Styela clava: one gene and its partners. The protein of the gene in region 1 purifies or fractionates together with the protein of each later gene. This does not show direct contact. Links are inferred from orthologs where the notes say so. Each region holds a gene or a part of one and is shown on either strand. Other genes may lie near its edges.

What was found.
Region 2: the proteins of syndetin-like (region 1) and vacuolar protein sorting-associated protein 51 homolog purify together in Homo sapiens (affinity purification with mass spectrometry; 7 studies listed by BioGRID and IntAct, counting the BioPlex papers as one, with this or other methods). This does not show direct contact. The link is inferred for Styela clava from reciprocal best matches to the Homo sapiens genes VPS50 and VPS51.
Region 3: the proteins of syndetin-like (region 1) and EARP-interacting protein homolog purify together in Homo sapiens (affinity purification with mass spectrometry; 4 studies listed by BioGRID and IntAct, counting the BioPlex papers as one, with this or other methods). This does not show direct contact. The link is inferred for Styela clava from reciprocal best matches to the Homo sapiens genes VPS50 and EIPR1.

Annotation. Positions count from the first base shown.
Region 1 is NC_135257.1:2,877,369-2,888,114, reverse strand, and holds syndetin-like, read right to left. Parts: upstream 4,229-10,746; 5' UTR 4,180-4,228; coding exon 1,405-4,179; 3' UTR 699-1,404; downstream 1-698.
Region 2 is NC_135251.1:21,116,889-21,127,879, forward strand, and holds the start of vacuolar protein sorting-associated protein 51 homolog, read right to left. Parts: upstream 5,248-10,991; 5' UTR 5,112-5,247; coding exon 4,944-5,111; intron 4,682-4,943; coding exon 4,604-4,681; intron 4,153-4,603; coding exon 3,994-4,152; intron 3,562-3,993; coding exon 3,304-3,561; intron 3,158-3,303; coding exon 3,035-3,157; intron 2,269-3,034; coding exon 2,108-2,268; intron 1,685-2,107; coding exon 1,516-1,684; intron 1,075-1,515; coding exon 920-1,074; intron 1-919. Other genes in the region: linear primary-alkylsulfatase-like, read right to left, coding at 9,632-10,833, 10,944-10,991. UniProt on the Homo sapiens protein: Acts as a component of the GARP complex that is involved in retrograde transport from early and late endosomes to the trans-Golgi network (TGN).
Region 3 is NC_135254.1:6,140,638-6,151,054, forward strand, and holds the start of EARP-interacting protein homolog, read left to right. Parts: upstream 1-5,979; 5' UTR 5,980-6,119; intron 6,120-7,252; 5' UTR 7,253-7,258; coding exon 7,259-7,845; intron 7,846-8,937; coding exon 8,938-9,141; intron 9,142-9,700; coding exon 9,701-9,835; intron 9,836-10,417. UniProt on the Homo sapiens protein: Acts as a component of endosomal retrieval machinery that is involved in protein transport from early endosomes to either recycling endosomes or the trans-Golgi network.

The DNA of each region.
Region 1 (10,746 bases):
ACTGAAGAAGAAACATTTAATTCTGCGCGCGATGCACCTTCTTAATCTTAACCATTCCTAAATTACTGTCGGGACCGGGACTCCACTTTTCCTCGTATCAGTCGTGAATTAATTATTTGGCGCATCAGAAAATTAATTATCAGCTGAAAAATTCTCTTTTAACGAGTGGCATAATCGTGGTGACTGTTCGCGAATTGTTCCATGTGTTTAGGAATTGCCTATTTTTAAAACCCCGCCTCTTTTGAAAATCGTGGATCTCGTCAAGATTACTGTTTTCTGGCTGATGAAGGAATAAAAAATATTACAGCTTAAAACCATACTTTAAAAGAGGACATATTACATAGAAATTCACTCTAAGCAAGATCATGCGCAGTCACTTTTAAGTGCAAGAACCCAAACAATCAAATGCCACAATCGATTTAAAACATTCTCAAATCAGATAACCGATATTGATGTGACTTAAAAGGATCGCTGAACTGTGGTCACAAGCACTCAAGCTTGTTGATTGATGCTTCGTCCGCCACACACATCCATTCATCTGAGACATTGGGCTACGTTATTTCCCAACACTAGTTCAATATCGCCTATCATTCTTGTACCTGAACGTGAAAAACCTGGGTCGTAATATTTTCAGGTCTATTTTTTCAGTTTATCCATTCCTTAGATGATAAAATTTGAAAATTAATATTGATTCACAGTTGATGCTAAATAGGATAATATATTATATAATAATATAATAAAATAATAGCATTACACATATTTTGAAACATTGAACGAAATTAACATAAAACTATTGACCCATTTTGAAACAGCTTGATGAAAAATACCTTGTGACAGTGCAATGCTAATAGATAATTAAGACATGTGAAGGTAGTAGTATAGTAGATATATTGCAAAATACCCTTCATTGTTGACAGATAGGGCTAAGCTCTATAATCATGCTTGCCAACTTACACTATGAGAGTTCGAATCCCGGGCACTAGCGATACTAAATAACAACAAATGAAATCCTTGGTATACCATCATGGGGAACAATCATGTGTAAGATATATGCTGGGTCCATAAATCTCATAGGGTTCATGAGGCCACCGGTCAGAACACCTTCATCTAATATCAAGACCATACACATGAAAGAGTAACTTGTCAACTATTCCTGTATCCACTAGCAACAGGGCGAAAAACTGTGGTTTGCCATCTGGTTAAGTCATCTCCCTTTTCATTGGGACAAACTCAGCAAACTATTAAATAGACTCCTTTCTACACATAACTGTATTAACAGAAGTAGTTTAGTTTTCAATTTTGATCCATTCAGTTGAATTGTTTCTTTTTCCGAGCACAACATGCCAACAGCACTTGCTGTCATATTTTCATCGTCCACATTCTCAAAAAATCTGGTGTAAATAATCATTTTCTTTTTGTGAGATCATCAATCATTGCACGCATTCTTTGCTTATTTTTTCTGTTAGCATTCCCAACTGTAGATGATGCACTACAGCTGGTTAATGCGGATAACTGTTTTTCTGAATATTCCGAATGATCTTTCATCCATTCGTCTAAATCTTTAGCAGTAAGATAATATGCCTTGATATAATTTTCGACAAACTCTTTACCTGGTGCAGGTCGAACTCCTGTGATTTCTTCAGCTTTAAGTAGAAACTGCTGGAAGTCCAATTGCATCAATGCTCGTCCTTCATTGCTGCACTTCTTAACATTAGAGAAACCCTCAACAAAAGTTTTGCCCGACATACCAATGCAATGTTGCCAAATTATCTTTTCTATTTCATCCGGAAATGGCATGTCATTCGCAGCTGAGGTGAATCCAGACTTCAATAATTTGAAATGATGTAACAAGGCATCAACATATTTGCTATGTTGTGACATTATTTCTTTTAGATCCCATTTAACTTCGGCCATTCCACTCAAAATAGAATTATAATCAATTGATCCGGCCCCAACAGTAAAATAAACCAGTGATCGCACTTCGGCGCAAGTACTTACAGTCTGGGCATAAAATTGTTGAAGAAATGCTTCTTGACTTGATGGTATGACTTTTCTTAAAGTAGGTTGTAAATATTGAAATTGAGCAGCTAAGTTCATAAGTGATTCTGTAGCTGTTATTCTATGAGGGAGACCAAACATTGTTGACCTCTGCTTGAGATTCACAATAGGAGAAAGAGATGGAAGGGGTACTTTTGTGGTTGTATTTTTTTCTTCTGCATCAAATTCTTTTCTAATTAATTCACTCTTTATTCGACTCAAAGTGGTATATAGTTTTTTGCTGCATCCAGGTATGCCAGGTTCATGAGCGGCAAACACATCATAAATAGAGATTAGGTAGTAATCGAATAAGTGTGACATGCATATTATAACATCAGTGGCAATCGGCTTGAGAACATCACACATTCTAAGATATTTGCCACAAGTTCTTAAGGTATTAAGAGCAGTGTTAGTTAAAAGCGGTCCAACTACTTTGTTTTCTTTGTGACTGATGACATCGTCATCATCAACATCTTCCTCAATATAATCAAATAATAGTTCATCATCCATTTCATTGTCATCTATGCTATGAGAATGTGTTTTGCCATTAACATTTGTTTTGTCATCTGATTTTCCAGCAAATTCTTCAAATGGATGTCTTTTATTATCATTATAATTAAAAAACATATTTTTGCTAGATTTTTCTGAATGTTTCGTTCCTGAGGACTTTATGATATCTTTGTAGTTTGCCTCATGCAAGAACTTGAACTCTGGCAATTGCATCACAGAAAAGTTCTTTTGTATTGGGCAAGCTTCCCAAGCTTCATTGTCAAGAAACATGTGCATTTCCTCTAACGACTTTTTATGATAAGCTCGGAAGTAACGCAAACTTTGTTGGTATATTGGTTCATGTAAGGTTGAACCAAAATTGTCTTTCTCAGGGTTGTCACCACTTCCACAAAAAGTTGCACCGACCAATATGAATTTATTGACAATTCCAACAACTTTTATAAATTCATCATATTTAAAACTGGACAGATCAATACCAAGAAGTAGACTTTTTATTCTGGATTGGACATCCAACCATATTCTATGACGTCCATGCTCAAGCTTACGTGTAATATACTTATTATCAATCTCTTCATCAGAAATCTTAGTATCATCAAATTCCGAAAATTCCTCACTATGCCAAAGTGAGACTTTATGATAACAATACATTATAGTCCACAATGCTTTACATAATGCAAGCAAACATGGTATATAAAACGATGAATCAACAATGGAACAAAGATCATTGAATTGTTTCTTTTGAAGATTAGCATCTGGTTCCTTTGTACATAGTTGTACATAACCAAGAAGAGTTTGAAATGCAATATTATGTATGCAAGTAGTGAAATGCATAAGCAATTGGTCAACGGCTGTTTGCCTTTTACCAAGAAGCTTGTAACCAACTTGAAGTTTTTCATACATTTCAGAATCAAAATGGTTGCACATTTTCGAAAGGGCAACATCTATTTGTTCTTCAATTTGTTCAATTGTATCTTGTAATTTAGAAGATAAGTCTTTAATGCAATTATATTGTCCATAGGCGACAGCAACCTTCTGGCATTCTAAACACAGCTGTATTGCTTCTGGGTAGTTCTCTTCTTCCATCAGCTCTCTCAGCCTAACATCTGTATGTTCCAGAGTTTTTATTGTGTTCAATGCATCATGCAAAGCTATTAAATTTTTTCTATGTTGAACATGAACAAGAAGTCTCAAATTAACAAAACTTGTGACAGATAGCAAGTGTTTTTTGCCGGCACAGCAAGTAGAAAATCCTATTTGAAGATCTTTCTGTAAATCCCGTACTCGCTGTAGTTCTTTCCGATAAGCAGGCTGATTTTCAAGAATAACATCTGAAAGTTTTTTAGAAACTGCACTCAATTGATTGTGCAGCTTTTCACACATTTCATGAATCAACTCTTGTGTAGGATGGTCTGGGAGTCTCTTGACGTCAATAATATTGCCATCCGTGTCTGGATTAAATACAGCATCATCAATGGATTGAATGGTTTCTGCTTGAAATGTTGGATTGCTTAAAATTCTTGAGGGAAGTACAGTTGTTCTTTCTACCGTATGAGGATGAATTTCATCATCTTTCTGTTTTGCACCAGGAGAAGAAATACCAACTTGATCAATTAGATTTTTTATTCGTTTCATGATCAACCAATCCTAAATATGATTAAATGTCCTGTATTTAATAGAATAATATGAAATTCACCTGATTCATTTTAAAAGTGTCCCAATACAGCAATGCTGCAATGTGACATTCCAAGGCCAGAAGGCCTGAAAACAGGCAAAAAGAAATCAACTGCCAACAAATTAATACGTTGAATTAATACGTAAAAGGCCTTGTTCAACATAATAAAAACATGCACGGTATTATGTATCCGGTTACATCTACCGGTACCGGTATAAAACGCAACTTGAATGAATGGAAATGTGATTTCATAAAAGTTGTTGCCATACGGTATCTGTGTATCTGCATATCGGTAGATACGGTAACTGGATAATTTGTTTGCCTGTCTCAACCCACGGACTTTATGGACCGTAAGGTACCGTATCGGTATAGGGTTGCCAACTTTATGTTGAACCGGAATGTCTAGATTCTAGAATTTGAAAATTGATGCAACCTTAATTGAATACCGGTACTAATACTTAATGCAACAGAAGCTTGTGAAACACGAAGCACGTAAAGAGCAACAGTACGGTACGCGCTGCGTGCCGTGCAGCTTATTTTCACAAACTGTAAATAATTTTATCATATGTGAAATGTTGACTCTTTGACGCATAAATGCAAAAAAATCTAAAAAGGGGAGTTGTACAATTTGTGCTAAGCAGATTAATTATTTAACAAAAATCACAACAAAATCCAGTCTTTCTGGTATTTAAACTCGTATTTTTATTGTGATTTTGCCGCTTCAACCCTAGGGAACCCACGTAACACCCCTGCTGCACGATCTTTTGGAACCTGTAGAAATAAAATGTTTCGACCCCTAAGGCCCATGGACCTTTCCCCGAGCATCGACTTCCTTGTTTACTTCGTGACATTGGCCAATCAGCAAATTGCAAAAAGCGACGTAACAATGCCCCCCTTCCGCATCCGCTCAGACACTTTTCTCACTCAGACAGATTTTCAAGCGTGGTCGTAAACATTACCTCGTTTTCGCATTTTTGAACTCTATTCGTTAGTTTTCAGTTGTGTTTTGGAAACTTAAATGTAAATCAGATAATTCAATGGTCACCCTGTCTTCCTAGGAGTTTTAATTTAATAGCAGTAATAAAAATTAGTGTAGAAATAGCTGTGATAGACTAGGCTAAAATTCTTTAACGGTACTTTTAAAAAAAAACAGATTGTTGTATGCTATGAATCATAATGATGGTTTGAAACACATAACCCATTTCACAGGCGCCAACTCGCAAAAGCACTCTTGAAATAGCCCCGAAAATTTTGCAATGGTGAAGTATAGGAAGAATTTTCCGGGGGTCAAAGGTCGGGGAAAGGTCCATTGAGGTGTATATATACACCTCAAACGCATAAATGCAAAAAAATCTGTATATATACACCTCAATACTAGGGCCAAATGTTACTCAATAGCACAGCTTTTGTGCACCGATCGGCCGGTTAGGTGGCGCTCCAGAAGATTGTTTATCATGGTGTGTGGTATTTTCGACAAGATCCTGAGAAGCCTGGAAACATCGGTCATAAATGAAGAACACCGATTGGTGTCAAATAAATGGTGAGTTGGCTTCTTAGTTACTTTGATATAGATTACTATGTTGTATGAATTGAGAATCTAGAGTGAATACTGACCCGACATACGATGAGAATCTAGAGTGAATAAATGGTGAGTTGGCTTCTTAGTTACTTTGATATAGATTACTATGTTGTATGAATTGAGAATCTAGAGTGAATACTGACCCGACATACGATGAGAATCTAGAGTGAATACTGACCCGACATACGATGGTCTACATTTGATGCATCACAGTTGTCACATCGGGACTAGTTATACAATTGGAGTAAATAGAATCGGATAGGATTTTACATATTTATCCCGGGGGAGAAGAAAGCCGATAAGACGGCTTATTCATATGGCGAACCACGGCCTCTCGTCCGGTTACCATTCCAATTCGGGTATGGGATTAGTTATATTGTTTTACGGAAGCATGGACTTGGTGGTGGAGGAAGCCGTAACCGACCAGCGGTTACGTGAACCACCCAACGACGGCGAGGAGTCCAGCAATCCTCTCGCTCATAACCATCCCTGCATGGGATTCGAACCCACGCAGAGTAATTAGAGGTGCGGTGGCGAGCGTATTCCTAACGCTTAGCCCGTTGAGCCACACCGCCGCGCCGAATCTGCATGTGACACCGGTGACACAATAATTGCACGCATTCACATTATAGCCTTAAACTGCCCTTTTTCTTGCTTGGTCAGGTCACTAACCGTATCTATACTTTTTTCTAGAACATGGCATCGATTGGGTCAAGCAGCTCGCGGTGAACTGAAATTGCAAGAGTGTACAATGCTAATGATATTCTTGTCATTTTGAACTGTGACGACAATGATGTGGAGGCACTAGTAGTGGATCAGATAGTGAATACGATATCAGAGAAGACAAAAACAACGGCTCCCAGGTTCATAATATTTTCATAATATTGTAGTTTTTTTTCCTAAAGAAGCATTACACAACTGCTTACGATCAACAGACACCGAAAATATTTTCTGAAAAATAACTTTCTCACTCATTGATCGAAACAATAAATAACGTTTTTCTTTGTTTGCATTTCGTGATATTTCATTTTACAGGTTGAGTCCGAAAGTTCTGACGACGATGTTCCCTTGACGAGTCTACGAGTGCAAAATCAAAAACAAAAGCCAAATAAATAATGCAACCGACGGCAATCAGTTTCGGTGGAGAAAGAAACAATTCGATAGGCCCGATGCAACATCAGACGATGGGACAGACGAACGAAACAGCATGTGCACATAGCCATGCCTGCTATCGTGCAAGAATACAATAAGTTTATGGGAGGTATTGATAATTTGGATTCATTTCTTGCAAAGTACAGGTTTCGAATGAAATCAAAAAGATGGTATCTTTATCTCTTTTGACATTTTATAATGGTGGCTATTGTGAATGCATAGATCTGGTACCGTCGTGATTGTGCCCTGCTCCATCTTCCAACGTCATATATTATGAAACGGCGACATTTTCAAGCAGCAGTCGCAAGCGCTTTGATCTATGTCAATAATGACACCCGTCGCGGGAGACCCTCGTCTGAAGTTGAAGAAATTCGCAGCCCCGCAAGGAAAATATCCAAGGCCCCATGTGAAGATATCCGACGAGACAAATACGCACACTGGCCAATGAAAATTGAGAAAAGGGGAAGATGCAAATTGTGTGAACGCAATCAAACAAATACCAGCTGTTCAAAGTGTAAAGTGAAACTTTGTTTTGTCGAGGGCCGCAATTGTTTTTGACTTTCCACGCCTGAGGAATTGGAACAATTAGTTATATTCTCAGGGAATCGTTTCTGCAGTTTTTATTTCATGCTTGCTTTATGCGCAAATGATTCGCCGATATTGCTCTTTGAGTTCGTTCGTTCAATGTTGGAATAAAAATGTGAGACTTCAACTTGTTTCGACTAAATTTTTCACACTTGTATACAGTGTAAGTTCCGTTGTAACACATATGCCACATTTTCAAAGTGGGGTTAAATGAGGTCAAAGGTCAAAATGGGATAAATTTTTGTTCAACATGGTCAAATGGACTACGAATCCCAAATATCAGATTTTTCCTTCAACTCTATCATTGTCAGGGCCCCCCGGGGTTAAGAAGATTTTTGTTAGTTAGTCACTTTGGTTTTCACAAAGTTTATGTTAAAATTTGTAATCCTTACGGAAATATAATAATAATGAACTCTCGCTAAGACAAGAGCTGTCAGCAAGGTGTCCTAAAACAGACGGCTAAATTAAATTTTAGCAAATTAAACATTAAATTTTTTAACAAATCTCACCAGATTGAGTGTTTGATCCTCTCAAAATAGCCTATTTTAGTGTTATTTCATCAGGAGGTCAAAGTTGACAAAACATGTCTTATCCACAAATTTTAACTCACTCCCATTTGAATGAACCATACAGATGTAATCGTTTTTATGGAAAAATATATTTGCGTGAATTACACCCGTTTCCAGTTTTGTAGCCGGCACACTTACAATGGTCTCCTATTTTAGAAAGCCTTTGTTGTCGTTAAATTCTGGGACGGTTGGTAGCCCTAAACGGGTAACACGGTTTGATTTTCAGTCGCTTTGGGAGTTCTTTAAAAACAATAATATACAAATACTTGTGGACTTAAGTATAAGTATATTTCGACTCCATAATCAGCATAACAGACAATATAATGATTGATAAAAACAAGAAAATAAAAACTGACTATGAAATCGGGGGAGCAAACAAAACCTTAGAAAAGGTTTAAAACGTAGCCTACAGAATAAGATGGAAGGTTTTGCCAAAAATAAGTGGTATTCTACGGTGCGTGCTCATTCACCAAAAAATATTAGACTCATCCACACACACACGCACCCACATACACCGACAGAGATATTATAAAGTAAGAAAAACGCGACAAGCGTAAGATAAACACATACCAGTAGTAAACAAAAATATAATAATCAGTAATCAGTAGTTTATTTTCTCACCATACTAAATGCACACTTTATATACAAATTGCAATAAATAAATAAAAGGCATTTCAGGGTGAGGGGAGCCGCGAGAAACCAAATTTGGTTATCGAGCAGCGGCACCCATAAGCAAGTCTAACAAGGAAATAATAACAAAAAAAAGTCGAACTGTGTCAAATAAATAAATGAATAAAAATTACCGCTATACCAGTCAGCCAGTAGGACATTTTGGCATAGTTTGGTTTGTACCGGTACTCGTGATGATACTGTGATCAATATGGCCATATATCGTCGGTATTGGCTATGTACCGGTAGGCCTACATGTCATTCGCTATTTGATTAAGACCATAAATTTGTTTACTTCTGGTTCGAATGAAAAGTGATATACTGAACTGATCGGATTATTGATTTCAATATGGAAAAAAAAACATAGGCCTACTGATAAAGATGATGTATTTCAAAGCAGTGACACCACTTTTAGTGCCGGTATTTTGCATGATACCCTCAGTGACCATCCCATGCATATTGATGCTGGCAATCAAGATAGCTCTGGGGCACTATAACAAACAAAGATCATAACAATTATGAAAGAAGAAATAGAAGAATGATAAAAAATCAATTTGCTGAACAGAATTCGAAAATTGAAAAAAATGCTGATGAGAACAGTAAGGCAATAAGCTCACTCATTGAAAAACAAAATATGCTGAATGATAGGGTTGAAAAAATAAGTGTGGCATACAAAAATATCAAATCAGACATTAGTGACTTGAAAGATAACCAAACCTTCGTGAGGAATGAACAAACTGAGACCAATAATGCAGTTAATGATTTGGAGGCAAAGGTAGAAGAATAAAACAAAATGATTGCTGGTCTTCAGAGATATAGCCTATAAACAAACTGAAAGAAGAGAGCAAAAAACAAAATTCAAAACAGAATGAGCTTGAGCAATATGATCGAAGACTGAATCTGGAAATACATGGCTACAAGCAAATAGAAAATGTGTTTGATATAGTCAGATAGTCACTAGAATGATTAATGTTCAATTGAAGGATAAAGACATATCTGCTACACGCCGGCTTGGACCAAAAGATAAAAACTCAGGTATCATAGTCAGGTTTTGTCGACAGAGCAAAAGAGATGAAATTTACAGTAGAAAATCTAACTTGCTCAAACAACATACGAGTAAATGAAAACCTTACAGACTTACAAAGACAATTATTTTATTAGGTAGTCAACTAAAAAATCAAAAAGGCTATATGTTTGCCTATACCTACCATTGAAAAATATTTGTTAGAAAGAACAAAGGGGCAGCTTCTTAGGGTTTTAATTTAAAATATCTAGTTCTGATGATCTAGTTAAAATTCGATAGTTTCATGTTGTTAATTTGCAATCTTGTTGGGATTTTTTTGAATATGAGTGATACATTTTAAAATTTTGGAGATCCTCCAACATCTTAGAATGTAAATGAGCCCTGCTAATGAATATACTTGTAAACTTTGTACTGATACCTTAACAGATAATGATGATAGCATATTTTGTGATATATGTGAACAGTGGATTCACTTTAAATGTTCATTATTATCGTATAGACAATTTCTTAACCTAGGTAATAGCACCATTCCATATTACTACAGAGTTTGTATGGCAGAAAATCTTTCGGTGGTATATGATTTCGAAAGCGTTACTGATTATGCCAATTCTGATATAATACCAGATGTCGTGCAATGGGACCTTGGAAGCAATTATATAAACACCCAGTTAGCCATCCAAGAATTACTTGCTAAGGAAAAAGGGACAATGCACATGATGCACTTCAATGTACAAAGTTTATACCGTAACAAAGAAAAATTGAACTCTTTCTTAGCCAGGCAATAAACTTACCTGAAATTATAGCCACTTCGGAAACCAAACTTGGTAAAACTGACCACAATATTTCATTAAATAGGTATAAGTTTTTTTATCGTGACTCACCGACTAATGCCGGTGGAGTAGGAATATATGTACTACTAGACTAGACAATATACATGCTATAAAACGTA
Region 2 (10,991 bases), on another chromosome or scaffold:
TGGTTGTCTTGTTGAATCAACTTCCATAGCTTTGTTTAAGTCTCAGAAGCTTTGTCATAATCAGTGCGTACCACTGTTCTTGTGATAATGTATCAAAGTTTGAAGAATGTGTCAGAAGCTTACGTAACTTAATTATATTGAAAACAAATTTTAAAATATATAATTGTTTTGTAAGAATAAAATAAGAGTATCCACTAATAGATAAAAAAGGTACCAACCTCCATACTAGCCAAATATATATTTGAAACGGTATTCCCGTAGTATGTGCACCAGGTTGGATTTATGCCATAATTTTATACCGATTTTCCTTATTTTAGTTCTATTACGAGTTTGGGGACTGTCTGCGTTAGCCAAGTGAATATACCCCCTGCCCATAGATTTCAGTCCCCTCCACACAACTTGATGTAAAATAGGCGAGCAAAATTAGTTACCTCCATATTGGTACACATACTTCTGGAGCGCCTTTAGAACTTGGAAAAAAAGTTTTTGTTCAATATCAAAGACATAAGGGAAAAATTATATAAACCTTGTCATAAATATTAATGAGTTGGGATTTGGGGATATTGTTCATTAGATTAACAAGTGGTTAGCCACAAATGCAACAGACCAGCAGTATTGCTCAATTTAGGCAAAGGCTATATCAGTTTAGTACATCCAAAATTGAAATGTTTCATAATTCCTCCTTGTAATCAACTTTAATCATTCTGAATAAATATATTTTGCATCAAAATTATAAAATAATAGAAATTTTTCTCAGCCAAATTTGGATTTGTAATGTGCAATCTTACAAAAATAAAGACAAAGTTGAGCATTTTTTCTGATATATTATATGTTCACCGCCCATTGTTACTGTAAATTCCTAACAGTAAGGTAGTCACCAGACAGTATCAAAGTAACTAAAAAAGCATTGAAAACTTACCTGCGGTAGAATCTATCCAAAGCTCTGACCAAAAGAGCATTATCACTGCTCTCTTTTTCAAAATCCAATCGTTTTTCCACGAGAGTAAAATAGTGTTTCAACTGTTCATTCACGAAGACAGTCAATTTGTCACTTGCAACTCTTGACATGTCCTCCTGTCAGTAAAACATCATTTAATACAAGATTTAGTCGAGACTCAAAGCATAAGATATTGTGAATGTGTAAATTTAATGAAGAGTCATCCATGGAAAATAAAAGCAAGAACATATATATTAAATTAAATATGTAAATCAAAATATTCAAAAATTTGACAAATGTTGGATAAACTAGTACCAAATATGCCAAGCTCAATTCTAAAATGCTCGAAATTTAAACACAAGAACTAAAATTAAGTCAAAATATAGGACGAAAAAAAATATTGTCAGAAGATATTTTAAAGAGTGAAAATGAGGGCTTATATGAAAAAGAAAGCAGAATTTTATAAAAATTGATGTCACCCATATATCTAGTTGCATAAAAGAAAGATTTAAGTTTGCAGAAAACAGATTTGAGGATGTGAAAGAAATACCGCAAGAAAATATCCATAACAATGTCACCTGAATTTCGCTCATGCTTGAACTTTCTGCGATTTCTTGAAATAAAGTTTCAGGAATGTTTTTTGTTTGATTAACAAATAGATTCTCATATGCAGCAATTGTTAACGACAAATTGCTCAAAAATCCATTACTGCCTCGATCAATGAATTCTAATACGTCGATCAACAACCTAAACCAAGACAATAAGAAAACTTAATTGGTATCTTTTTTGAACAATATTTCCTCCATATTTTCAATATAGGCTAGGATACAAATGACTGGAAAGTTGTTAGCATGGACCTAACAATACCACCGTACAACAGTGTAAGCTTGAGCATGTTACAAAATCCAGATATTTAAGTCTGCATAATTATCCAAAAAATACAGAATTTTCAAATTGGCCCATGTTTATAAAGGTGCAAAGCAGGCAGGAGTCATTAATAAAATACTTGTGACAGTTAGGCTAAGTCTTTTACCACACTCATTTCATCAAAGTATACCGTATATATTCAAGACTCAAATAACGTGAAGATGCCTATAAACCTAATAAGGATTCATGAGCTACAAAAAACATGTCAACAGGGTATTTAATTTTGAAGGCTTAAAGTTTTACCTGGTATTTTCTTGTTCAACTATATCATCAGTATGTTCATCTGTTTCTTCATTGGTATTTCCAATACTTTTGCTATCTTCTGCGACTATAGTAGTTTTTGTTGAACTTCTAGTAATTGATGGAGATGTAAGGAAGTTGCATGATAGATATGATTCCAGTTCCTGAGAAAAATTCAAAATGAATATTGATGAATCATAAGAATAGTAAATACGAGGTCGCTCCAGAAGTATGTGCACCAAGATGGCACACAACCTGAATTCTAACCTGGTACACATACTATGTTCAGGTTGTGCGCCATCTTGGTGCACATACTTCTGGAGGTCCGATACAAGAGGGCGGTGCGAAACGTCAAGCTGAGATCAGATTTTTAGAGTTAAATCCTTGTATATCTTAATTAATCATGACCATATATAGCCTAATATAGATCGAATCGTACTCGAAAACTCATCTACATGTGGCGATTCAGAACTGTCCACAGAAATCTGAATTAAAAATGGGGTTGGATATTGGCAACTTTATTGTAGTTGGAACTTGGAAGCCAAGCAGAAAATTTCATAACAGTATATGAAAAGTAGAATTCCCTCCCAAACTATTTTAAAAGCATGAAAATATTTATTTATTGATGCATTGCTAATGCTAGTTTCCAGATCTTTGTACTCAGGGGGTCAATGTTTACAAAAATTAATTTCACAAAATTGAGTACAGAAAATTATCTGTGATACGTAAAGATCAAAAATCTATCTGCAATACCATCTGCGGAAAAAATTTCCATTAAAAAATATAATATATTCAGCAAGAACGGTTCACCATCCATGCTCTAAACTAAAACAGTTTTTGATCACATCACTGTAACTGAATATCATTATCGCTTAATCGTTTTGAGTGAAACATACGTTTACATTATTAAATGATATATAAAATTCAAACCTCTAAATCTTCCAGTAACTTTCGTTTTGTGTGTTGAAGATAATCATCACATAAGGATGCTGGTGGTTCTCCTAATCGTAATAATAAGCCAACACATTGAGCTAATTGCTGAGGTGTAGAATTCTGCACAAAATATGAAGTAGAGTATTTTTAATGGAACACTCTTATAGACGGATGCGCCCTATGAATGGACAGAACCCAATCATAATAATAAAACATAATGGAATAGCACCTATGTGGAATTGGAAGCCCTTACTGAAAAAGCATACCTTATTATGGAAAGTGTCTTTTAATTTTTCGATAACTTGATTCATAATTTCAGTACAGTCACGTTGAATTCCACTGAATGATTCCATGTGTTGGTAACGACTAAGAACAGATCGTGTTTTGGTGTAATATGTCACAGCAGCAGAATATGATTTCATGTCAAGGCACCTTTGTAATCTGGATGGTAATTCAAACAGAAACTGCAGCTTCTTAAGTAGTGAATGAACTCCTGATAGCTTCAGTATTTTCTGTCGATTGTCCTAAAGTGAAATTACGGAAAGTATGAGAGGGTCATCAGAAACTGCTCAAATCCATGATCAGCTAGCTGGTGTCAAAATATAGACAAAATGGTTTAGTAGTTCTAAGCGGAGGTGTAAAAAAACAATACTACTTTGGTATGCGATATCGGAGGTTGTGAGATCTCAGTGACTTTAGTTAGGGTTAGGAACAGACTTATATGAGAATTAAAAAGATACCAAAATGGGTATGCAATTATCTTGTAAAGCAAGTGAGATGCATACCTAGGTGGCAACAAATAAGTTATCAAATGCAATTGAGGACGTAAAAGATCTTAAAATTAGGAAGAAAATGATACAAAAATGTTAATAAATTTTGGATGAATTAGAAATGCCTTAAAAAAATTTGAAATACTGTTGATAAGAAATAGGATACGGTAAGCAACAAGAACCTACATGCATTGTACTGTTAATTTCAGAACTTAATTTTGCAACTGATGAAACATTTGCAGTTAATTTCTCCATTTCATCCTCCATTTTATGAAAATCTCGTTTCATTGTACGAATTGTATCTGTCGCACTGATGAACTTATTGTAGTTCTCATACACCAACGTCTGTTAAAACAAATATATTCAATTTTGCTACATTTTCTTGAATAGCATATTTCATATAGTATGACACATGTTTCAATGTTTAAAAAAACTGACCAGATTTAGCAATATATAAACAAGCTCTGAAACGAGGGGCGTCGTTTTGGTAGCACTGGATACGGCGGCACTATCTTTGTGAGATACTAATAAATCAACTGTGACGCCAGCGAAATTCGCTCGACAATAGTTTCCTAATTATCTGCTTTGTTTAATCAGACTTTAACCCACAAAATTTATTGCCGAGACAGTTTCGAGTTCCACTTCGTTTGAGTTTAATGTGCAGCTACATTTTGTGGTTTTTGCACCAATATGGAGGGACGGTAAAGGCCAGGGGATATTTATGTATCATTGGATAATAATGCATGTATTTAAACTTTTAAACCGTAACTCCGTTTAAAAAACATGCAGAACATACTTGCATTTCACTGTCCAATGTTCGTATCTGACGTGCCATGTCATGTTCAGTATCCATCAGCTGCTCCAAATTTTTTTCCTTACAATAAAAACCTCAATTAAAGTTTTATCAAAATTAGAAAAACTACATCTACAATTACTGCTGTACTGGGCAAAAACAAAACTAGGCTACTAGTTCTATAATGTAAGCAATTACAGTATTATGGGTATCAAAATTTAGCATTCCGCGTTTGAACATGAAGAATTTACCATTTTAATACAGGAACATAACTGCATAATAGTGTCAAATGTGAATTGGGCTAGCTGACTAGTAAAATTTGAATCATTTCAAAAAATTCAACCTGCTTTAATTTGCGAAGGTAATCCTCAGGTTTGAAATTGTTGCTGTCAATATCCAGATGTCCATCGGAAACTGAAGATTGATTTTGACCATCGACATTGTAATACATCTTGAGCATATCATTTTTACGCGCATGTCTCGTCTGACGATTTTCGTCTGTCTCCTCCATTGCTAAACTTTATCTATTGACTATCTATATATTTTTCAGCCAATCGATTACAAAAACAATACAAAAACTACCGGTATTAGCCGATTTGACTGGCAAGCAACTCCAGTGTCGCGATTTACTCTGCTTATTTAGCTGATCTTTGACCCCGAACAATTTGGGCCTGACTCTGAGTCTACACACGGGCTTATTTTCGATCTTATATTTTCATTTATTGGACACGTAGTGGACATAACGATCGTTTCAATATTATGTTGTTGTTGTTCTTGTTGTTCTTGTTCTTTGACACGTTTTTAAAAAGTCGCTTTTCTCTTCGAATACTGGACCAATTGCTTTGAAATTTTCAGTGGTTAAAGATTAATTTTTTCTCTAGAAGGCTATTACTTTTGTTTATTCTTAAATTTTATATGAATCCTATGAGATATGATATTTCATACAAAATTTCGCGGTATTTATTTTTACTCATGGGAACACTGTTTTACACCTATTTCAAGCGGTTTCGCGATCGATTGTCTTGCTCAGTAGTACAGCTACTGTAGGTCGGTACTGGTAAGTTGCCACACAGGTACCGTAACGCAGTGAAATTGACTTATTCCTTCCGCGGTATTACTAATGCTGCAATGCAAGTTTTATAGCCTATCGTATGCGGAACGGAATATCAGACCTGCAGGTTCGGTACCGGTACTGGTAGCTCAGTACGTAAGTACGATACTGGTACTGGTGCCGGTACCAGTGTCTTACCACAATGAAATTACCGTAACTTATTCTTTCACGGTCCTACCAGTGCAGTAATGCAAGCGTTGTAGCACTTGTAGCCTACTATATTTGTTTATTTTGATGAGAGTCTACTGGAAACAACATAAAATTTGAAAGGGAAGAATTGTTCTGTGATCAATTATCTGTCCTAAAGTGTAAACAACATAAAATTTGCAAGGGAACAACTGTTCTGTGATCAATTACCGTATATGGCCTACAGTGTACAGGTAAGATGCTGGCTGACTGCTAACCGGTACTGGTAGCTCAGTACGTAAGTACGATACTGGTGCCGGTACCGGTGTCTTACCACAATGAAATTACCGTAACTTATTCTTTCACGGTCCTACCAGTGCAGTAATGCAAGCGTTGTAGCACTTGTAGCCTACTATATTTGTTTATTTTGATGAGAGTCTACTGGAAACAACATAAAATTTGAAAGGGAAGAATTGTTCTGTGATCAATTATCTGTCCTAAAGTGTAAACAACATAAAATTTGCAAGGGAACAACTGTTCTGTGATCAATTACCGTATATGGCCTACAGTGTACAGGTAAGATGCTGCCTGACTGCTAACTCAGTACCGCTTGACACGTTTTTAAAAGTCGCTTTTCTCTTCGAATACTGGACCAATTGCTTTGAAATTTTTAGTGGTTAAAGATAAAGGCTATTAGAAGGCTATTACTTTTTTTTTCGCTAAGACGTCATCAAAATTATGTGACTCTACGTGTCCATATATTTGAGCATAGCTCTCTTGTTAAAAACCAAATTACAAAGTAGAGAATTACGAGATTTTCGAACATACAAAATATGAGCGCCGATATCCATTTACTTACAAATAACACGTTTTATTCAAATTAACTGTAAAACATAGTTTATTAATCATTTTAAACGTGTAGGAGAGATTTCTTGCTAAAGACTAGGTCAAAATTTTGCGTTATCGACCAGGTCTTATTTTGAGGAGAGGGCTTATTATTATATTAAAGTCATTTTTAAAATTCAGGCTAGGTCTTATTTTCGGGAAAATACGTTATTCTCTATGTAATATTTTGAGTAATTTAAAGGTTTTGATTCTACAAATCTTCCGTAATTATTGTATTATTAAATGGGGCAATACCAGGAGAAAGAGTACGGAAGCTACGCCAGTCAGGTAGAACCAGCAAATGTCTGCAAAGCTTGAAAATGAAAAATGGCATTTTAAATTATTGTGAGAAGAAGCAGAAAATTATTATACGAAAAACTGCAAACATTTGTCACTGCTGGAAAATGATTGCAGTGAGTCGCCGAACATTTTGAAAACATTAGGTTAAGGTATTCACTTGTACTTATAACTTTCAGCAGTGTTCAAGAAGACTGGAAAGTACTTTTGACGGATCAAGTAGTTCGTTTTCGTGTCAAATAGAGCTTTGCTTCCTATTAAGCTGATTGTCAACTTGTCACCCCAGAGGAGATGGTAGGCTACCTGTTTTATCCCTTTGCCACTCCCCTCGATATCGCCCACTTTAAGAATTACTGGTCAAGCACATCTTTGGACTCAATAGTTGTACGTTTTTGGTTGACGATTGACAGTCAAAAGCTGTCGACTTGAATAAGGAAACGGCCATCGAAATGAGGTTTCTCCGGATAAAGATCATTTCCCATCTGTGACATCATAGAATGGTCAAATCTTACTTCGGATACAATCCAGCAACTCTTTAGTGACAATTAAATGCATTATAGGCCTACACGTACTTTGGCAAACATTTTATGATATCAATGTGTTCGGCTAATATTCCTCCTTGAAAACGCGATTTTCTTAATCCTTCAATGTAAAATATATATATAAATTGGTGAAATATTGGGATGTTTCAATGAGTGCGTGCGAAATTCCCATGAGAGCCTGTGATACATGACCGAAAACAATTGATTCAAAATGGCACCCATTGTCCAAGTGTTGCCTCGGACTCATATATATATGCTTTGATTTACCCACTCATGTAAAATGTCGATTTCTTAAAATACCAGTTCCTTTCCGAATAATCTTTCTATTCCCCAAGAACTACGCGATGCCAGCTACTCCTATTTAACAAGCCATGACATCCATTTTAACGATTTCAAATAGCCAGTTATTTTCCTACGGACTTACAAATACGTTATTGGACACGAAATGGACCTACAAATCGTTTTGTCGAAGTTTTTTTAGTTTTTTCGTGGTATTTTTCTTCTTCATCTTGTTGTTATTATTTTTCCCCGTGTTTTTCTTCACCTGTTGTAAAAAAATCCCTTTCCATTTACCTGCTGGACCAATGAACCTTTCCTCAACCTCTGACCCCCGAAAAATCCTTTCTATACTTTACCATTGCAATCAACATCGCATACAACAATCTGTATTTTAAAAGTACCGGTGAAGAATTTTAGCCTAGTCTATCACAGCTATTTCTACACTAATTTTTTATTACTGCAATTAAATTAAAACTCCTAGGAAGACAGAGTGATCATTGAATTATCTGATTTATATTTAAGTTTCCGAAACACAACTAAAAACTAACGAATAGAGTTCAAAAACGCGAAAACGAGGTAATGTTTACGACCACGCTTGAAAATCTGTCTGAGTGAGAAAAGTGTCTGAGCGGATGCGAAAAGGGTGCATTGTTACGCCCTTTTTGCATCTTGCTGATTGGCTAATGTCACGAAGTAAACAAGGAAGTCGATGCTCGGGGAAAGGTCCATTGTTTTGAAATTTTCGGTGGTTAAAGATTATTGTTGTCGCTAGAAGGCTACTACTTTATTTATTTCAAAAATTTCTGTGGGCTCTATGGGATTCCTTTTAACTTTGAAGTTTTGTGTGATGACGTCATCAAAATTAAAAATTGCATACCTTGTGGCGGTTTCGCGATCGCATTTTGCGTTGGCCCTTTTTTCCATATATTTGAGCAATGCTCTCTTGTTTATTATGTGTATTTGGGGACACTAAATTGGAGTACGCAAGACCGCGCTCGTACAACTATCCTGAACATCCATCATCATTTAAACAAGTAAGAAGTATGTTATGCTCGAAATTAGTTTCGTTATATAGAGATGTTCGTTGATCGCAAAAAAGGACTTCTGTTTGCCTGTTCTCAAATTAACAGTCTCTTCTCAGATGAATTCTCAGAAAGGGAAGTTCTATGTACTATGTTTGATGCAGGTTCTTATGCATTCACTGTTTTGCCAGTCACCAGCGTAATTTCAAAATGGGAATAGTTTTATTATAGGAACTTATTCTTGTTAAAATAATGTACTCTTACGTATAATCTTGATGTCTATCTCCAGCCTATATTCACTGACGTCTATGTAGCAACTATTTGTTGCTATGGGCGTCTAGAATCGGGGATCAAATATTTCGCTAGAATTACGATGGACATCACTGTTCCCTTGCAACTAATCTTACAGTTATAGTTATTTTACAGATATTGAATACATGTTGTGGAACTGAGAAATCCCCAATCTGGTTCTCGGGGTTTCAGGTGTACAATTGGCGCTTTTGTACCCGTTTGATACAGCAACATTGGACATTTATATTTATATAACAAGACTATTATTAAATCTCGATACTCAAAATCGCTGTAGGTAGAAGAAAAGACTAATCTAAAATTTGATAAGATATTGTTTGAATGGTTAGGGTTATTTGATCATTAAGGTAACACAGTAAATGACAAAAATAAAACAATAATTCGTTATGAATTTTCGTTTGGAAGCGTGGGGTCAAAAAATTAAACTGGCAACTATAGGTATATAATATGTCATATTTAGTTAAACGGAATTTAATGGATCAAAACATTCCAGAAACTCCTTGTAAGTATCGATAGTTCCATAGTCAATTTTCACATTTCCTAATTCGATTTCTTTATCTAGTTGCAGATCTTCTGCAACAATCCCTTTGTACACATTCGATTTGGTGGAAAGTTGAACTTGGGGGACGATACTTTCTGGTGGTGGTTCGAATACATCACATACGCTGTTACGCAGGCTGACTACGTAGTCTTTCTGTATATCTGTGAATGAAAGTCCTATTGTGTAGTTTTGATACTGACATTCGAGACCTCGAACTTTAGAGCAAAGTATTTCGAGAACTCGGCTGACGGAAGAATCTTTGATACCCATTTCAAGTGCTTCCTTCGAACGCACGAGTGATAGGTTATTCTCTACCTCCAGAGCATATGTAAGGTAATAGTTTCTTCCTGTCGCCGTGATTTGTTCAACACCTATTGCTCTGAGCGCACTGACCTTGATCGTTTTCGCAACATCCGTCATCTTCTTGTCCAATGTATTGAGTTCTATGACAGCGTCTGCTAGTTCTAGTGCCCATTTGTCATCACTTGGAATATGTTTTCCTGTAGCGGTATAATGGTTGTGAGAAATTTGGTGAGATATCTGTGCTTCTTGAAGCATGATTTCTCCAGGTGATTCCTTTCGAGTCTGGGCGTAAGATACCAAACGCGCCATTCTGGATGCGTGATCGGACGCCGGCATAGGATGCAAATCAATAGGATTCCCGCTAAACCATCCTAAGTAGCTGGCAAAGACTCCTCTTATAGACCATGGTACAGAACCGTAATGTTCCTGTAAATTTGGATGTTTTCTAACCATTTCTGGAAGTTGTACTTTCTCGACAATTTGATCTGGAAAATACCCTTTGTTTATCAGCCTTAAGGTTTGGTCGTGGATGTATTTAATAGCATCTCTGTAGATCAACAATGTATCGTAGACTTCTTCCTTTCCCTCCACAGGTCTGGTATGAGAGCCGATAAGATACTTTCCACCGAGCGCCCTTGTTTTATCCAAACTGGTATACCAAATCTTTGCATCGCGAGTAGGACTTCCACGTATAGCATAGATATTAGGAAAAGTTTTGTAGATGTTATCACCGGGGAGAACAGCTCCAATTTTCGGTATCCAAACTGTAGTCTGATCTTTCGTCTCTCCGGGTGTATGGATAAGTTCAAATTCAATACCTGAGATCAATTGTTATTGGTTACTTATTGAGCCGTAATAGATTTAATTATCATAGAAATTCACGTACTTGTTTCAATAAGTTAGAAAAAGACGTAAAATTGTGATTCACCTGCTACGTTATAGGAAGCTCGATTTGAATAGGTTTTTGTCGGTGCGG
Region 3 (10,417 bases), on another chromosome or scaffold:
AATATAAATAGCGATTTGATGACCGGCCTCATATATTATTGTAATGTATGGGGTGCCCTCCCCCCTAAAAAAAACTAGATTACAATCGGAGACCGCCGACTTATCGATGCATGTTCTCTCCGCTCTGACTCAATAGCGACACCGCGTGTCTCATCACCAATTAATTGATACCTCGCTAATTATACGACATAATTCATCCAAAATCAATAGGCTTCTGGTCCGAGTGTGATGAGTGCACATGCACAATTTGGGGCAGATTCAATCTCGCTTTCGTGAGATACGTGTGACCAATGACATTAAACAACATGATAGGCAACTCTGACGTCACTCCATAAGACTACAGGCAAAACATTGTATTTCATGATACGCTCCAATGCACATATTTCTCGTCGCCTTTCGCGTCCGTTTTCCGCTCGCTTTTGCTACTCGGCGTCTTTTTTACGTGTAGTACCTGCCTTTTTGCGCCTGTAACGAAACAAAATAATCTCTATATCTAAGAAGTTTTGCTTCCTTGGAAAGTTGGAATAACAGGCAAGCTGTAAAGAGCAATTCTGGACATCATAGACGTTTTTTTCTATCAGAGAAGATTACAAACGCGATAGCGGAAAGATTTGTGTGGAACATTTTGCAGATAATGACAAAGTTCAAAGTTAGTAATTTTAATGTTTGCGCTTAATCATTGAAATTTCATTTAAAGAGGGTGTCATACAAAACTGTGCTGCGATACAATTCCATAACACAAAGTTTGCACCTATCGAACTTGCTTTCGTAGGTGAATTTATTAGACATATTACATATTCAGTTAATCGTAGGTAACATTGCTGGTACATAATGCATCGTAGATAGGTTTGTTTAAATTTAAGAATTTAGCTCATAGCCCACTAATTAATATTATCTTCTATGCAGGAGGTTGCAGGGCTGAATTCAACTTGCAGCCTTACCGATCACCTGACGATGCTCATTTAGTTTGGCTCGAGCAAGTCTTCTTGAAATGCTTGTGTGGATAGAAACTACCTATATTTTTTGACTTCCTCCGATTTTAGACAAATTTATTCTGAGGGATTTCGCATATAATTCTCACTGATTGTTGGCTGTTTATAATTCCTATTGATTGTGAATTCTGATTATAACAATGAGTTGAAAATTTTTTTACCTAATTTACTGGCACCTTTTTCTTGTCAATACTCCAAGCTGAGGTAATAAACATGACAATACATTTATGTCATCTGGAAGCAAAATATGCTCACTAATTAATAGTTTGGCACATTGAGATAATACATCATGACAGAAAATACAAGTTAAAGATATGTATGACCATCACATGGTAATTAAAATTTAAAAAAATTAATAGGGGCTGTGGAGTATGGAAAGTTCAAGACAAAGAAAAGAACAAATGTTCATAGTTCATGAACTCTCAATTTTGCCTCCATTGCTTTGTGAAGGCCAATATATTTCGAGTGGCTGAATTGGTTTACCTTTATGATAGCAACGATTTTGTATTTAATATAGCGAGATTATTTCAATTTAATTGAAGTGATATAATTTCCCAAAGCAATGCTTGAATCGTCTAGAATAGATCAGTGGTGTCAAACTCATGGGTTTTCGAGAGCCGCATTGCATTTTGAAAATTGTAAAAAGAGCCGCAAACAGTTTTTGATAATGTATACTTAAAAGATATTTTTAAGATAGTTTTAGTTTGTGACATATATTGTGATGCAACTAAACAGTTGGATTAAGTTTTATTATTTTCTTCAATTTCAAATGCAATTACATATTAATATTTGCATTCCACTATTATTGCAACATTTGCAAGTTACAGTATTTATTATAAAAAATCGTAAAATTCTATGTACAACCATCAAAATCATTTTTGAACAAGCTTTGAATAAGGAAAGAATAATACATACACTAAAAATAACTTATCTAAATATATGAACCTAAAATTAACAAAAATACTACAGTATAAACTCAATGTTTTAATAATTACATTTGTCCTGGCGTTTGGCATTTTTTTGTGTCACCAGCATACTAAGGCCAGTCTGAAATGATTTTATAGTACCAACTCTAACTAACGAGGCCACATGATCATGGGTTTATCTGAATCTTTACGAATGTTTAATTAATTCCAGTAATGCAAAAAAGTTACTTTTATCATTTCATGTATAGATCAGTAAAAAAACAAATGACAGATTTTTTCGACAAGACATTTCGCACTACATTGCGTGGCATAGGATTGCTTGAATTATTATTGATATTGATTTTTAGTAACTAAGTCGTTGTATAATTATATTAATATACAAACACATGGAAATTTTCTGTTCGAAGTTGGTCTTCGAATTTGTCATATTGACTGCTGAGCTTATTGTGTTTTTTGATTGTATTGATGGAAATATGACAAATTAAACAATGTGCTTCAGAATTTTGTGAAGAGCAGAAATGTTACAACTCCCATTTTCTTCGAAAATGCCACCTTCTTCATGTACTTTGCGTTTAATTTAATTACTCAAGTGTTTTATTCAAGTATTCTTTTGCTAGCTTGATGTGTATTCTTAATTGGGTCAAAATGTGGACAAAAAAAATCAATATTTCAAAACTACTTTCAGTAAATTGTTTTCTGTGTGAATAATCAATTTCACTTTAGAAGGTTTGAAAAATCTATTACATTTAGATAAAAATAAAAACTTCCAAAATACTATTACAATTACTGTTAAGCGTTCGAGGGCCGCACTGGAAGTTCTCTGGGACCGCGAGTTTGAGATCCCTGGTATAGATTGAAGTTGTTCAAAAAATATATGATAGTATTTTATCATGAATGATGATTATACCCCTTCCGGAATTTCTTCTATAGTACTACCAAAAGTTGATGAACCAAATATAACACAGGTGCAGTGAGGTACCCGTAATCCTCATTTCCAAAGCTGTTTTAAGTATGTCTGGCGTGTTTTGTGCCTTTTTACAAATAAGACCGCTTATGCAATCTTACGCTTTGGAATTTTTAGTTATTTTCCTCAAGCCCTGCAGGATGTGGGGGCCATACACAACTCTACCGGAGGGTCAAATGTCTTTGCATGCCTCCATAGGTTGTTTTTCTATTGCAATTTTCTATTTTCAATTGCATTATATTTCTCGGAATCACACTGTCACTGATATGTCGCCAGACTTCTGATATCTCCCCGTCTGCTATAGTTGTCCTGTGAATAAATAATAGGAAATTGAGATTGGACGAATAGTTGAAAGTTTTGCTTTATGTCGGCTTAATTTCTTGATTGATATACTTGCTATTTCTGCTATTGGCTCTTGTGCTGCAAGATTCTCGCAATGCTTAGACAGGTTTGTCCACAACTTTCACATCTGAAGAAAGAGAGGAGATTTATTAATTTTCGTTAAGAATAAATAAAGCAGTCTATATGATTCAGAATGGAAAAGCTAATAAATCCAATATCTCATGTTTTATTTAAAAAATATTTTACTGAATTTGGTATATAATCAATCAATCAATCATCATTTATTCGTCAACACAATTTAAACATGGTATGATATATAAAAAAATAATTACAAATATAAGTGGAAACTAACTTAAATTGTGTGACAGGAGTCGCGAGGGACCTCAAGAGGTCTTCAGGCAGCGACACCTAAAACGCTTGTTGATTCAGGTTAATAGCTTAAAAAGTTAATGAAACACCAAAACATTTCAAAATAAATATTTTGAAGAAAAAAAGAACATTTTCAAAAAACAAAAAATACCAAATATCCATCATAAGTATTTAAAATAAAAAAAAACCTAACATCCTGGTTACGAGCATGTTTTTTTATTATTTAAATCAGTGACCAAATTCATAAAAGATGAAATGCACCGTAGAATTAAACGGTTGCACGAAAAGACATAAAATATGTTATATATCGATGTGGAGTAAAAAAAAAATATAACGATTAACTATAATTCCCTTTAGACTGAATCTTTCAGTATCCCCTGACATGATGCACGCAAGGTCTTTAACCAAAATTTGGTTTTCAAAAATTACGACTCCACGCACATCTGATTCGTTCGCAAACCAACTAATAAAAGGGCTTAGTCAGAAAATTACAAGCATTCGTGGCTCCAAATACTTGAGAAATCAGACTATACAATATAGACCGGTATGAGTGAAATGTTAGGTGAACTTGTTAACACTTTGATTCAATACGCAAATAAAAGTGAATGCGTAATAGTATGTTACAATGAGCAGCAATCAACAATGAGTATATATCCTCACTGATTAAAAAAATCTAACTGGAGGTGCATGAACTATTTGAAACCATAAGGGGTAAGTAAATATGTAATTTCGGCAAATGGGCAACTACGTACCGTACTGAATTAATAACTTCGTAGTATTTGACAAAGGCTGGCTTTCCCACATGTACTTAACAGTGCGATGCCCGGGTGTGATATACAACAATAGTATTCACCTTACCTTTTACCGATTTCTTTTTACCCCAACTTTCAAAAATATCATTAAAATCGACAACAACTGTCAAAGCAGGCACGAACACCATTCGTGCTACGCCTTGAAAGCAGCACACATCCGCTCGTTTTCGTCTCGTCAAGTATGTGCATTGGAGCGTGCTATCGAATACGATCTTCGGACAAAAATGCCGGAGTTGCGCATCATGTTGTTTAATGTCATTGGTGTGACATAAGAAATTGTCCAACAGTCACCCAAACAGGCAAATACCTATCACCATACTTACCGACTGAGATCGTTTACGTAAAGCATAAGTTTATTTCGACTCCATAATCAGCAATAGGCGATAATAATAGATAAAAATAAAAGTAACTGATTATATAATCGGGAAAGCGAACAAAACCTCGAGTAAGGTTTGAAACGTACAGATTTTAGATGGAAAGGTATTGATAAAAAAAGTAGTACGTGTTCGCTCACTCAAAAGTAAAAAAAAACTAATTAGGGCACGCACGCACACACACACACACACACATACACACAACCATCGAGACATGATACTGTCGGAAGATAAAAAAAAAGCGAGACTCAAAATCAATTAAATTACTCAGTAAAAGGAAAATATACAAACAAATGAGAAAAAAAAATGAATAAATTCTTTTGCCACACCAAATTAATATTTTTATGAGGATTGCCAAATTGGATACCGAATTAGAATGTACTGTGGATAGAAAAGTATTCCTCCAAAAATATCGTCAAGCTGATTATAATTGGAGTCACCTAATGCCAAATTGCCCAATCAGAATTGCCAAGTTGGCTTTCTATCTAAAAACGGAACCCAGTCTATTTAGGACATATTGCATGAGTTCAATTGCATTTTGGCTCATCCTGTACGTATATGTATTACCCAGTCAGCTTCATAATCCTTGAGTTTCTGTGCAGTCAGAGTTGTATTTTCAAATCCATTAAATCTGGAGTCTAAATTCGAATTTGTTGCAATCAGAATTTTAGACTTTCAGTGATGGTAAAAAAAACTCAAAACCGTCTACAAAACTCACAACCCGGACTCAAGAGTCAATTTTTTTAATCCGTAATCGGAGTCACATTTTTTTTTATCTCGTGGGCGAAAAGTGATTATAGTCACTGTGGGTGTGGGTGGGAGTTGATTGCAAAAATTATCCGACTCCACAACTAGATAAAAGATCTCGTCAAATATTTTTTGACCGCATGTGGGCGATAAAGATCATTTTTTAACTTCTGGTTTTGCTGCTCAAAGTCATACACGCTTTTCTGCTGAAAATGACATTTTGTGCTCAATTGGGAGCTTGTTTGCGGCGTATTTTCGGGCTATTGAGTAGTGTTTCGTTATGAGCCAAGAAAAGACCAAAACAACAATTTATAACAACGTTGATATCCACCCTTGTATGCAGGAACAAGAGTTGTCAATATCGTGTATGTCCAATAATAATTACGATCGAGAAACATACAGAGAAAAGTGTGTCGAGTATTTCAGAAATTATAGGGATTGCAAAAGATTTTGGGGATCTGTAAAACTAAAACGAGCTGGGCAAGGTATAAAGCCGCATATGCCCCCTGCAGACGAAAGACAAAATATTGTGGATTACCTTGGAGAAAACTTGCCTTACCAGCTTGCTTCTAAATTCAACACTTCACATTAAAGTAAGACTTCCTTTTTTATCATTTAAAGTTATTGAAATTCAGTAATCAGCAGTTAATTTTCACACCATACTGAAGGCACACTCCATATCAAAATTCTGAAATTGCAATGAATAATGAAAAAGCATAAGACAGTAAGAAAGTATAACAAGAAAATAATAATATAATTGCCTATACGTTGAGCAAAGCACACTTTTCATATTCTAGCATTTAGTTACCAACCTGTGCAAGTATATTAGTTATTACTAATCATACAACTTAGAGATCTTGGGTCTAATGTAGTTTCGTACCTGACATACTTCTAGTGGGCGTAGCATGACAATTTGGGTCTCATGTAGTTTCGTACCTAACATACTTCCAGTGGGCGCAGCATAACAATTTTTCACGTATCAATCATAACCCCCACCTGACTACAGTGACGTAATAGAGCCCTTCAAACTATACGAACTGCCATTTAAGACGCGCAAACGAGCACCTGAAATTGAACAGCTATTTCTCTCCTTTTCTCACCGAAACGATCCCAATGTAAGAGATATTTGGCAATCTCGATGACGCGATTGTGATGCCGTAGTGATGCAATTTTTGGATGGCGTAGTCAGTCTGGGGTTAGGATTGATAGGTGAAAAATTGTTATGCTACGCCCACTAAAAGTAAGTTAGGTACGAAATACCAAGTGCTATAATTATCATTAAACCAAGAAAAAGGTGGAAAGGAGCAGAACGGAGTTCTTTGTGTTTCATGTATTTTTTGGGTTCCCCGCTGCTTTCGCACTGTTTATAGTAAATATTGGTTCAAGAGAGGCAGAAAAATAGGTTCTACCGAAATGAATGTCACAATTCCACAACTACTCAAATAACAGCAAACTTAAATATGATGGAAAAATAAATGTCATAACTTCTTAAATAATGCCGAACAAAAACGAGATGTGAAAATACAGCAAATTTTAATTTTTCAAATAAAAATCTGTCTTGCTCAGATTGCTACCCCATTTGGCATTTTTCAAAAAAAAAAAAATTCCAGTTTACATTTTTGTTTAGCATTATTTCAGTATTCACGATGTTTACATCTTCGGACCAGGAAAAATGTGCATGTAGTCTGGTAGTAGATATAAACTCGTTTATCTAAATTTATTATAGAGAGCAATGGATTTAGATGAAGCTCCAATAATTCACGGACTTGAGCTTCCGTCAAGATGTATTTGCGCACAATCAGCAGACACAAATATCACTCGATTTATGGTGGCAACTCAGTCGTTACGACAAGAAAATCAACTCCATTACGTGGAATTCGATGATGAGAACAATGTCATTGATAAAACCATGTTTTCTCACCCAATTGGTGAAGTATGGCATCTGTCAGCAAGTTTCAACAATCCAGATGTTTTCACAAGCTGTTATCAAGCATTTGAAAATGGAAAATTAATCCATGGATGTATGGTAGGGAAACTACCATTAGATGAGAATCAAAAGCCAATAGTTAATTCAGCCACTACGCAAGACATTACACAAAGTCAACAAGGAACACTAGAAAATCTGGCGACCCTAGATTCAGAGGAGTTTGGAAATATATCTAGTTCGCATTGGAAACCAATAGAAGGGGAAAACTTCCTAATGGCTCTTGCTGGCAGCAAAATGCTTCTCTATGATATGGAGCAAGGCACACCAAAGCTTTCTGACTCGTTCGAGCTTCCAACTAGAAAAGGGCATCCTTGCACTATAACAAGCGGCAGGTGAGTAGTTTTGATCATTACGGATGGGACTTTATTATTTACATGGGGTGATAGAAAACCGACAAGACATTTGGAGAACCACGGCCTCATCTCTGGTCAGTATGTTCCTCAGATTTTTTATTTAGGGTAGGAGGGGAGGGGGGTAAATACTGTTTGTATCTGTTATGTATTTGAACCGGCATATGAGCCACTTTCTGAATATTCAAATACATTTTTATTTAACTTAAGAATTAAAGTATGGTGTCATACCTGTAAATTAGGGGAGGAGTTTGAAAGTTTAGGGGAGATGTAGGGAAATCACTGTGTCTGGTTATCAGTTAATGCCAGGTATGGGAATCATTGTCAAAGAACTAGTTCCAGATGCATGGACATAATGGTGGAGGAAGGTGTTACCGACCAGAGGTTACTTGAACCACCCTATGACAGTAAGCAGTCTAGCAATTCTCTTGCATATAATTATCCCACGCAGGATTTTAAACTGTGAACCTAGGTAATGAGAAGTGAGATTGCAAAGCGTGTTGGAAAACCCAAAAATTGTTATTATTATTAGTGAAAAAGTTGAAAAGTAGTGTCTTTGAGAAATCTAAAACATAACTCATTAGCTTTCACTGGGCACACTACTTTCAAACTTTTTCACTAATCCTGGGGGCTCTTCTTTTACACCAAATTAGGGTATTCCAAAAACGTTGATTGTAGATGTTCCTCTAATTGATTTCAGATACATTTTGTGTTTGGCCCTAATTATGCAAAAAAGATGCTTTTTGATCTAATGATAGTTTGCAGCCATATTCACCAAAGTATTTCAATATAAAGTTAGAGAAGTTTCAAGATCAGAAATATCTCATTTCCCCAGAACAATTTTTTTAGATTGAGCCATTAAATGCTCAGCGGTGTGGCGCATGACTCCTTCCCGCCGCGGGGTGGTTCATGTAGGCCATGGTGTGCCATGTGATTGAGCTCCTTATCAGCTTTCTTCTCCCCCAGGATAAATATGTAAAATTCAATCCCAAATCCAATCCTAATGTGCTTCAATCACTACACTAAAAACGATGCAGAAAAATAACTGATATAAATATCTATCTCTCTTTCAAGATGGAACCCACATCATGGTGGCAAGCAATTTGCAGCGGCCACTGAGCAAAATGTTGTCGGTTGGGACATTCGATCCAAATCTCAAGCTTTCATCATAGAAGGGGCTCATGGACAACTTGTACGAGATGTCGACTTCAATCCGAATAAGATGTATTACGTCGTAACTTGTGGAGATGATTGTCAGGTCAAGTTCTGGGACACAAGGTGGGGCTAATAAGTTATATTTTTTTATATTGTGGGGGGGGGTGGGTGATAGGAAAACACGAAAAATATATCTCAGAATTTAATTATGTGTCGTCATTTTGAGCACCGGTCTCCTGTTATAGAGATGTTCCCGTTTGATTCATGTCGATATGTTTCGATGTCTGGGAACAACACCACAAGCTCTAGATGCAGTAACAATGGTGTGTTCTAAACCACCTTATCCAAAGTAAATGAGTAATCTGTATTAATGACGATCACTTTAAAGACCTTAAGCTCTGTGTTTGCTATATCCTAACACAGAGGTTCCCAAAAAGTGTGCCGCAAAAATTAAATGATTAAATATTTTACATTTTGTATTTATTATAAATGTTATATTGTTGACCTTTTGCCTTTATTGTTCATACACACAAAATTGAGTTTTATTCAAAAAGCAGCAATTTTTTCGTGTAGGTGCTCCATAAGTTTTCCCCTGATACTCTGGCTTTGGCACCTCATGAACGCAAAGTTTGGGAATGGTTGCCATAACAATAGAAAATCAAAAATCTGTTCTCTTTTTCAGAGATCTTTCTGATCCGGTTAAAGTTCTCTCTGATGATCATTCACACTGGGTCTGGTCGACAAGGTACAATCCATTCCATGACCAACTGGTGCTCAGTGGTGGGAGTGACAGCCGGGTTATATTGTATAATATGAAGTAAGTGGACTTTATTTTCCAAGTAGTGTTTTGCAGCTTATTTTTCAAGTTGTGATGAATAAAACTCTGGGCAAGCAGCCCAATATGTATGGGCTAGTACAGTGCTTTCCACCCTTTTTCAGTTTTACTGTTGCTATTTTTTCTGTGCAACCCACAATGAGATGTTAATATATGAGAAAAGAAACAATGTATCCCCATGCAATTTAGTATCAATGCAAAACTAGATCTGCATATTGTAAATCAAGTCTTATAATGACGGTAATTCTAATTGTTACATTGTTTTCTATTTGTTACGTGATGATAGTGCCACAATTTCCCTATCTAATTAAAAACTATATGTACCATTTGGAAATACATCCTGTCCTTGTTCGCATAGTTAACAAAACAAAAACATTAACAAAAATGGACTGACCTCATTCAGGCTTATAATTAATTAGCCACTTAGTCACACCTTGAATTAGGTTATGTGCCTGGGATTTTTAACCGAGATGTGTAACCTTACCATTTTTATTCACTAGGATTCTGCACCCAGAAAACATAGTAAATTTTCAATAGTATGCCATTTTTAATGTAAAATAAATC